Xenopus tropicalis: one gene and its partner. The protein of the gene in region 1 interacts with the protein of each later gene in a pairwise test. Links are inferred from orthologs where the notes say so. Each region holds a gene or a part of one and is shown on either strand. Other genes may lie near its edges.

Region 1 (4,146 bases):
ACAGTTTACACAATGGGGCTGATCTATTACCTTTAAGGGCTCTGGCACACGGGGAGATTAGTCGCCTGCGACAAATCTCCCTGTTCGCGGGCGACTTATTTCCCCAAGTTGCCATCCGTTGCCATCCCACCGGCGAAAATGTAAGTTGCCGGTGGGATGGCACACGCGGCGGCGCGATTTCGGCAAATCGCCGAAAATGCCTCGCGTTGAATAGTGAAACCAACCCAAACTTAATACTACAAATATCTCCTGTGAAAATAATTGGGTGTCCATGAAGTATTATAGTACTAACCACTGCAATATCCAGTCAGCTTAAATACCAATATCACTGCACAGTAGTCAAGTTGTTAAATTTTTTTATTTTTTGACAATATTTACATTAAACAATGTTTTCTGAAAAGTTGCAAAAGCATCAACACTATACATGAAACATGAAAGAATTTATCATCTACACCAGGTGTGGCCAAAATGTTGATCGCGGTCCACCAGTCGATCCCCTGTGGATTTCTGGTGGACCGCGTCGAAGCCGGGAAATGCGGAAGTGCGGCGGTTCCGCGTGTTTATTGGGTATGTGTATGTACGCGGGGAGGAGTCAAAAGTCGATCGCCGCGGAAAAAAGTCTTGGCACCCCTGATCTACACACATTTTAGTATGAGGTGGTAAGTTTTCACATTCGATCCCGTCACGAAAATGAAGCTTTCGGAAGTGATATTTTCAGAGTACCATCCTTTGCTGTGTGCAGGACACAAGGTGGGAAATGGGAAGGGAAGCTTATGTGAAAGGTGCCCTCTTCCTGCTCAGTTGTCACCTCGCCATAGATATGGCACTGGGCTGGAAAATATCGCTCCACGGCCAGGAATGCTCCATCTCCACCCATCTCCAGAGGTTGTGCTGCAGATATCAGGAGGCCGCACTTAAAGTGTGCAGCAGAGTCTAGCAAAAGGCCTGAAATAAGAGCCCCATCAGCAGAGCCACAGGTCGGAGCGAGGTAGCGTTCCAGTCCATCCACCACAATTAGAGAAGGAGCTGGGAAGGAGAGGTGCATGGACGAGACAAGGTGCAGAAGCTCCCTGAGAGAAGAAGGATACAGAAACCGGATTCGCTAAAAAGAAAAAAAATTACTAAGATCAAAAACTGCTACAGAACAATAGCTGAAAAAAATAACTACAAGTACGACATGCCAACCAAAGCTATGCAAATCCATCTGGATACACTCATGAGCAGGGATCCCCAACCAGTGGCTCAGGGGCAACATGTTGCTCCCCAACCCCTTGGATGTTGCTCTCAGTGCCCCCAAACCAGGGAGTTATGTTTGAATTCCTGACTTGGGGGCAAGTTTTTGTTGAATAAAAACAAGATTTGCTACCAAATAAAGCCCCTGTAAGCTGATAGGGTGCATAGAGGCCCCTAATAGCCAATCACAGCCCTTATTTGGCTCCTCCATGAACTGTTATGGTGCTTGTGTTGCTCCCCAAGTCTTTTTACATATGACCCATGCCTCAGGAGTAAGAAAGGTTGGGGATCCCTGCCCTAAACTAACATTCTTCCCTGGCACTTTGCTCTATTATCTGTCCCCTCATAATATGTCCTTCCCCTAAAGGTCCCCATACACGGGCAGATTGTAGCTGCAGATATGGGTCCCTTGGACCGACTCGACAGCTTATCGGCCCGTGTAGGGGCATAAACGAGCGGGCTGGCCGACCGATATCTGGCCTGAAATTGGCCAGATATTGATCGGCCAGGTTAGAAAATCCCGTCGGATTGGGGACCGCATCGGCTCGTTGATGTGGTCCCCGAACCGACTGCCCCATTGCCGCGTGCAGAATTCCATAGTTTGGCCCCAGGGCCAAACGATCGAATTCACCTACATGCCTCCCCGATATCGCCACCCGTAGGTGGGGATATCGGGTGCAGATCCGCTCGCTTGGCGACATCGCCAAGCGAGCGGATCTGCCCAGGGTCGGACTGGGCCGCCGGGACACCGGGAAAAATCCCGGTGGGCCCCAGCGGCCCAGTCCGACCTTTGCCGGCGCTCCCCCTACTGACTGTTCCTCCCCGACGCGTTCAATTTATACACGCTCGGGGAGGACGTCAGGCGGGGGCCCTGCGGGGGGGGGTTAGGGGGGCCCCTGGGGGGGGGGTTAGGGGACGCGGCTGGGGCACCTGCAGGATCTGCCCGTGTATGGCCAGCTTAAGGCTCTATAAATCACTCATCCCATTTGCCCCAACCCCGCGGAGTCAGAACCCACCTCACAGCTGTTCCCAGTCCCCCCATAATATGGCCCAATACAAACTACTGCCCTGCACTCATGGCCCCCCAGCCCTTCCCTGGTAGCCACACCCTGTCTCTCTGCCCCGCCCCCCAGCCCTTCCCTGGTAGCCACACCCTGTCTCTCTGCCCCCCCATATAAACCTCCTTCCCTATAGAATCACCTTGAGTAGGAGCGGCTCTCTGGCTTCCCTCCCACCCCCGGGCAGCCGCTGCAGGGACTCCCGGGATATAAATATTACCGGCCCCGCACCCTCCTCCGCGGCCACAAGGGCGGCGCTAAACAGGAGCCCGCTCTTCCCACAGCCGGGGGGGCCGACAAGCAGCACGGAAGAAACCGTTGAGCTAACATGGCCGGGCAGAACACTGGTACCGGGATCCCCCTGGTTATGGAACTCCTTACACCCCAACAACTCGCTCAGCACCCTGCTCAGAGTTTGTGCCATGCAAAATGGTTTAGCCCATGCAGCCAGCTCTGTAGCGCTGATTGGCTGAAAGTCCGGAAGTGAAGACACTTGCATTATGCGTGTCAAGCCTCGGTTTACAGTAAGCGAAAAGAGAGAAGTTCTATTGGTTGTGTTGGTCTGTGGGTGTAATGAAGGGTTTACCTCAGTGTCTTGTCAAGTACTGAGATGGTTTCTGCTGAGGTACATTCGGTATAGAGGATTTTTGCTTTTGTGGAAAATCTTATGCAGTCTCCCTTGTTTTGTTGTCATTCTGCCCTATTAGTTATTCACATAGCTGCATAACAGTTGTAAAGGTTAGTAGCCTCTCAAGTTTAACCTACTGCCCAGGAATATCTGGTGTAACTACGAGTTTATCCAAAGGGGGATAAAATCCCCAGGCTGGGCCCCCTTAGCCCATAACAAGGTTACAGATATATAGAAACATTGGGGTAACAGTCACCCTGCTATAGTTCCAGGGGTACCCAGGGTACAAATAAGCACTCACCCCAAATCCCCCCCTAACTGGCCTTCAGGCTGGGCCCCCTTAGCCCATAACAAGGTTACAGATATATAGAAACATTGGGGTAACAGTCACCCTGCTATAGTTCCAGGGGTACCCAGGGCACAAATAAGCACTCACCCCAAATCCCCCCTAACTGGCCTTCAGGCTGGGCCCCCTTAGCCCATAACAAGGTTACAGATATATAGAAACATTGGGGTAACAGTCACCCTGCTATAGTTCCAGGGGTACCCAGGGCACAAATAAGCACTCACCCCAAATCCCCCCTAACTGGCCTTCAGGCTGGGCCCCCTTAGCCCATAACAAGGTTACAGATATATAGAAACATTGGGGTAACAGTCACCCTGCTATAGTTCCAGGGGTACCCAGGGCACAAATAAGCACTCACCCCAAATCTCCCCCTAACTGGCCTTCAGGCTGGGCCCCCTTAGCCCATAACAAGGTTACAGATATATAGAAACATTGGGGTAACAGTCACCCTGCTATAGTTCCAGGGGTACCCAGGGCACAAATAAGCACTCACCCCAAATCCCCCCCTAACTGGCCTTCAGGCTGGGCCCCCTTAGCCCATAACAAGGTTACAGATATATAGAAACATTGGGGTAACAGTCACCCTGCTATAGTTCCAGGGGTACCCAGGGCACAAATAAGCACTCACCCCAAATCCCCCCCTAACTGGCCTTCAGGCTGGGCCCCCTTAGCCCATAACAAGGTTACAGATATATAGAAACATTGGGGTAACAGTCACCCCGCTATAGTTCCAGGGGTACCCAGGCACAAATAAGCACTCACCCCAAATCCCCCCTAACTGGCCTTCAAGCTGGGCCCCCTTAGCCCATAACAAGGTTACAGATATATAGAAACATTGGGGTAACAGTCACCCTGCTATAGTTCCAGGGGTACCCAGGGCA
Region 2 (4,219 bases), on another chromosome or scaffold:
TATAGCCTGGATCTGTAAAAATGTTACATCCAAATTACTACACTGGACAAAGTGCCTAGATAATGGACTATTGCCATCTGTTGCTACTATGTGTCTTATATGTTCCCTCATATGACACTTCAAAGACCGAGTTGTGCAACCAACGTACTGCATTCCACATTTAGAGCAAGTCAAAAGATAAACCACGTATCGTGTGTTGCAATTAGCATACGACTGCATATCATAAGATCTACCAGTAACTGTACTATTAAAACTAACTGACTGCTTAATGTAAGTGCACGTAACACATCTGCGAGCTCCACAGCGATAAGTTCCCTTTACATTTAGCCAGGAAGTTTTTCGGGGTTGCGACTTCCATAGGGTAGGTGACAGTAAATTGCCTAGAGTAGGCACCCTACGGGCCACTACATTACAACCATCCTGCAATACCACCGCTAAAACTGGATCGTTATATAAAACCGGGATCAGATCATACAATATGCGCTTAACCTTATAAAATTGATTACTAAAAGCCGTCACAAAAGTAGGCAGGTCCCTGCTCTTTATGGTCCTATTATCACTACCCTTATTCCGATTCGCTAAAAGCTCAGATCTATCAGTACGTAAGGCTTTAATGAACGCTTGCGACAGTGATTTAATACTGTATCCCCGACTCAAAAATCTATCACGTAGATAAATCGCCTGTTCCAGGAAGTCGTGTTCTGTACTACAATTCCTCCGTAAACGGTAGAATCGTCCGAGGGGAATGCCTTTAAACATATGAAAGGGATGGCAAGAATCTGCCCTCAATAGCGAATTTCCGGAACAGGGTTTTCTGAATACTGTGGTCACAACCGAAGAACCTGAGACCGTAAGTTTCAAATCTAAAAAGGAAATAGAGTCCCTACTGAACTCACTAGTGAATCTTAAGTTCAGAGTGTTGTGATTCAAATAACCCAAAAAGTGCCTAAATTCTGATTCAGAGCCACGCCAAATAAACAAAAGATCATCAACATAGCGTTTGTAAAACACTATGTTAGATGAATATAAAGAACTACCTCCATAGATGTGGGACTCTTCCCACCAACCCATGTAAAGGTTGGCATAAGTGGGCGCGAACCTAGCCCCCATTGACGTCCCACATTTCTGGAGGTAGAATACCCCATCAAAAAGAAAAAAATTATGAGTAAATAGTTAATAGAATCTAAAATGAAATTTTTAGTGACTATATCATATGTGCTATAATTATCCAAGTGATAAGAAATGGCTTGCAAGCCCCTATCATGGGCCACAGTTGATGTGGCCTCACTGTATTCTTGCGTCCCACATGATAGGGGCTTGCAAGCCATTTCTTATCACTTGGATAATTATAGCACATATGATATAGTCACTAAAAATTTCATTTTAGATTCTATTAACTATTTACTCACTCATAATTTTTTTCTTTTTGATGGGGTATTCTACCTCCAGAAATGTGGGACGTCAATGGGGGCTAGGTTCACGCCCACTTATGCCAACCTTTACATGGGTAACTATGCATAAATTGGAGACAGCTTCAGATGACTTTTTTGCCTTTCCTTCAGCTTCATCTATGTTCCTTCTTTTAAAGGGGAAGTTTCGCCCTAATAACTTTTACCACAAAATCTGCATTTCAAAAGTCTGCGATTTCTCATTTTTTTAAAAAAAAAAATCTTTTTAGTTTTTTCAGAACAAAAATGAAACCGTACAAAATATATCTGTCATTATACACTAAATCCAAATTATCTCATACTTTTATTAAACCTTTTATTTTATTAATTTTCCACAGCTCCCTAGCAATCAGGGAGCAGTTATAAGGGCTTGAAGGTTCAATATATTTCCTTGCTGAAGATAAATGCAATGAATAAGACACAAGCTGAATTTTTTGCCAGTTTTAATTATGAAAAATCTGTGCTTTTTTGTTATTTCTTGAGCTAAACAGGGTTAATAAAGCTACTCCATGTTTAGCTCTTGTGAGGTAAGGGTCACAATGGGGAAAATGTAACTATTTGTCTGCCAAAGGCATCATTAAAAAGCAAAGTGATAGACTGCCAATGATGTAGCACATACTGTAAGTTTCAGGGTTTAAAAGGGTAGTTCACCCCTTGCAATTTATTTTCCTTTTTTAATTTTGTGTCATTTATGAATGATATCTCTTTTTGTTCAGCAGCTCTTAAGTTTGGAATTTCAGAAGCTATGTGGTTGCTATGGTCCAATTAGCCCTAGCAACCAAGCAGTGGTTTTAATGAGAGACTACAATATTAATGGGAGTGGGTCTGAATGTAACGTGAAGGTTAACTTCCCCTTTAAGGTTGTGCTATGGAATTACACATTACAATGCCCTTTTCCCAAAGCCCCCCTAACCTGGGGAAACTGCTGGAAGAGAAATGGCTAATGAGAGTTCAACGCTACAGTTATAAAGTGCTCACCCGTTTAAAAGCAAACCTCTAATTGGCTGCTATGAGTAACCACACCATGGCAATTCTGCACTACTAATTACATATCCCCAGCACAGATAGAAGACACGCTTAACTTTCCACACAGCGCATGTTCCAGAAATATGCATTTGTCTTGCACTCTATCGAAACGCTAAAACTCCTCACCTCCCCATACAGTTCACATTAGCACTTGCAGGTTCAGGTTTGCGCCAGGTACAATGGGCGGAGCTACTTGCAGCGATAAGTTCCACTCCTGGCAGAATATGGGCGCGCTGAATTTGTGTGACGCGGGCAAAACTCTCCTGGGTGCAGTGATTGGATCAAGATATCACGTGATGCGACTTGCCGCTTGCGGGGCCTTCTGGGTGTTTGGGGGGGGACTTTGGCAGTGACGTAGAGCAAATGGGTTGCGTTGTGGTGCGTACGGGGCTTCCCTCCAGCCTGGGAGAGGGATATAAGCGCAGCCTGCGGCGTGTTGCTAGGAGTGAGAGGGATATAAGCGCAGCCTGCTGTGTGTTGCTAGGAGTGAGAGGGATATAAGCGCAGCCTGCGGCGTGTTGCTAGGAGTGAGAGGGATATAAGCGCAGCCTGCGGTGTGTTGCTAGGAGTGAGAGGGATATAAGCGCAGCCTGCTGTGTGTTGCTAGGAGTGAGAGGGATATAAGCGCAGCCTGCTGTGTGTTGCTAGGAGTGAGAGGGATATAAGCGCAGCCTGCTGTGTGTTGCTAGGAGTGAGAGGGATATAAGCGCAGCCTGCTTGTGTTGCTAGAGTGAAGGGATATAAGCGCAGCCTGCTGTGTGTTGCTAGGAGTGAGAGGGATATAAGCGCAGCCTGCTGTGTGTTGCTAGGAGTGAGAGGGATATAAGCGCAGCCTGCTGTGTGTTGCTAGGAGTGAGAGGGATATAAGCGCAGCCTGCTGTGTGTTGCTAGGAGTGAGAGGGATATAAGCGCAGCCTGCTGTGTGTTGCTAGGAGTGAGAGGGATATAAGCGCAGCCTGCTGTGTGTTGCTAGGAGTGAGAGGGAGAAGCAGTGTTTAAAAAGGAAAGACATAAAATGATGATTCCGAAACTTAATTTTTTAAGTGGTTTGCGAGTTTTCTTGCCGCCTGGTTGGAAGTCTTGATGTTGATACAATTTAACCCGTTGAAAATTAAATAATTGTAAATTTCATATGATGGTGGATGTTTTATGGGAAATGGCCAAGATTGTTTTTGATACAATGTTTGTAAGTGAGCCCCGTAACTGAATACAAAGACACAATTACACGTTTGAACAGCGCTGTACTCTGTCTTTTATGCTCATAAATTCCCCCACAGTCACTGCTTCGCCTTAGAGGCTCCCTATTTGTGCCATATAGTTCCCCGGCAATATGGGATTATATGGGCATAATGTGGGATATATGGGCGTAACGTGGGATATATGGGCGTAACGTGGGATTATATGGGCATAACGTGGGATTATATGGGCATAACGTGGGATTATATGGGCATAACGTGGGATTATATGGGCATAACGTGGGATTATATGGGCATAACGTGGGATTATATGGACATAACGTGGGATACATGGGCATAACGTGGGATTATATGGGCATAATGTGGGATTATATGGGCATAACGTGGGATTATATGGGCATAACGTGGGCTATACGGGCATAACGTGGGATTATATGGACATAACATGGGCAGTAGGTGCTACATGTGCTCATTGGCACTAGCTCTATATGCACATCCCCCAGCATGGCACCCATGGGAGTAGGTTCCAGTCACAGAGGGCACAATACT

Evidence for each region. The genes of interacting proteins can lie anywhere in the genome.
Region 2: the proteins of swsap1 (region 1) and zswim7 interact in binary tests that used the Homo sapiens proteins (3 or more experiments, as listed by UniProt). The link is inferred for Xenopus tropicalis from reciprocal best matches to the Homo sapiens genes SWSAP1 and ZSWIM7.

What each region holds. Positions count from the first base shown.
Region 1 is NC_030679.2:140,123,073-140,127,218, reverse strand, and holds swsap1 (ATPase SWSAP1), read right to left. Parts: upstream 2,806-4,146; 5' UTR 2,791-2,805; coding exon 2,434-2,790; intron 1,103-2,433; coding exon 683-1,102; 3' UTR 340-682; downstream 1-339. UniProt on the Homo sapiens protein: ATPase which is preferentially stimulated by single-stranded DNA and is involved in homologous recombination repair (HRR). Has a DNA-binding activity which is independent of its ATPase activity.
Region 2 is NC_030678.2:31,207,342-31,211,560, reverse strand, and holds the start of zswim7 (zinc finger SWIM domain-containing protein 7), read right to left. Parts: upstream 2,801-4,219; 5' UTR 2,601-2,800; intron 1-2,600. UniProt on the Homo sapiens protein: Involved in early stages of the homologous recombination repair (HRR) pathway of double-stranded DNA breaks arising during DNA replication or induced by DNA-damaging agents. Required for meiotic progression, hence for fertility.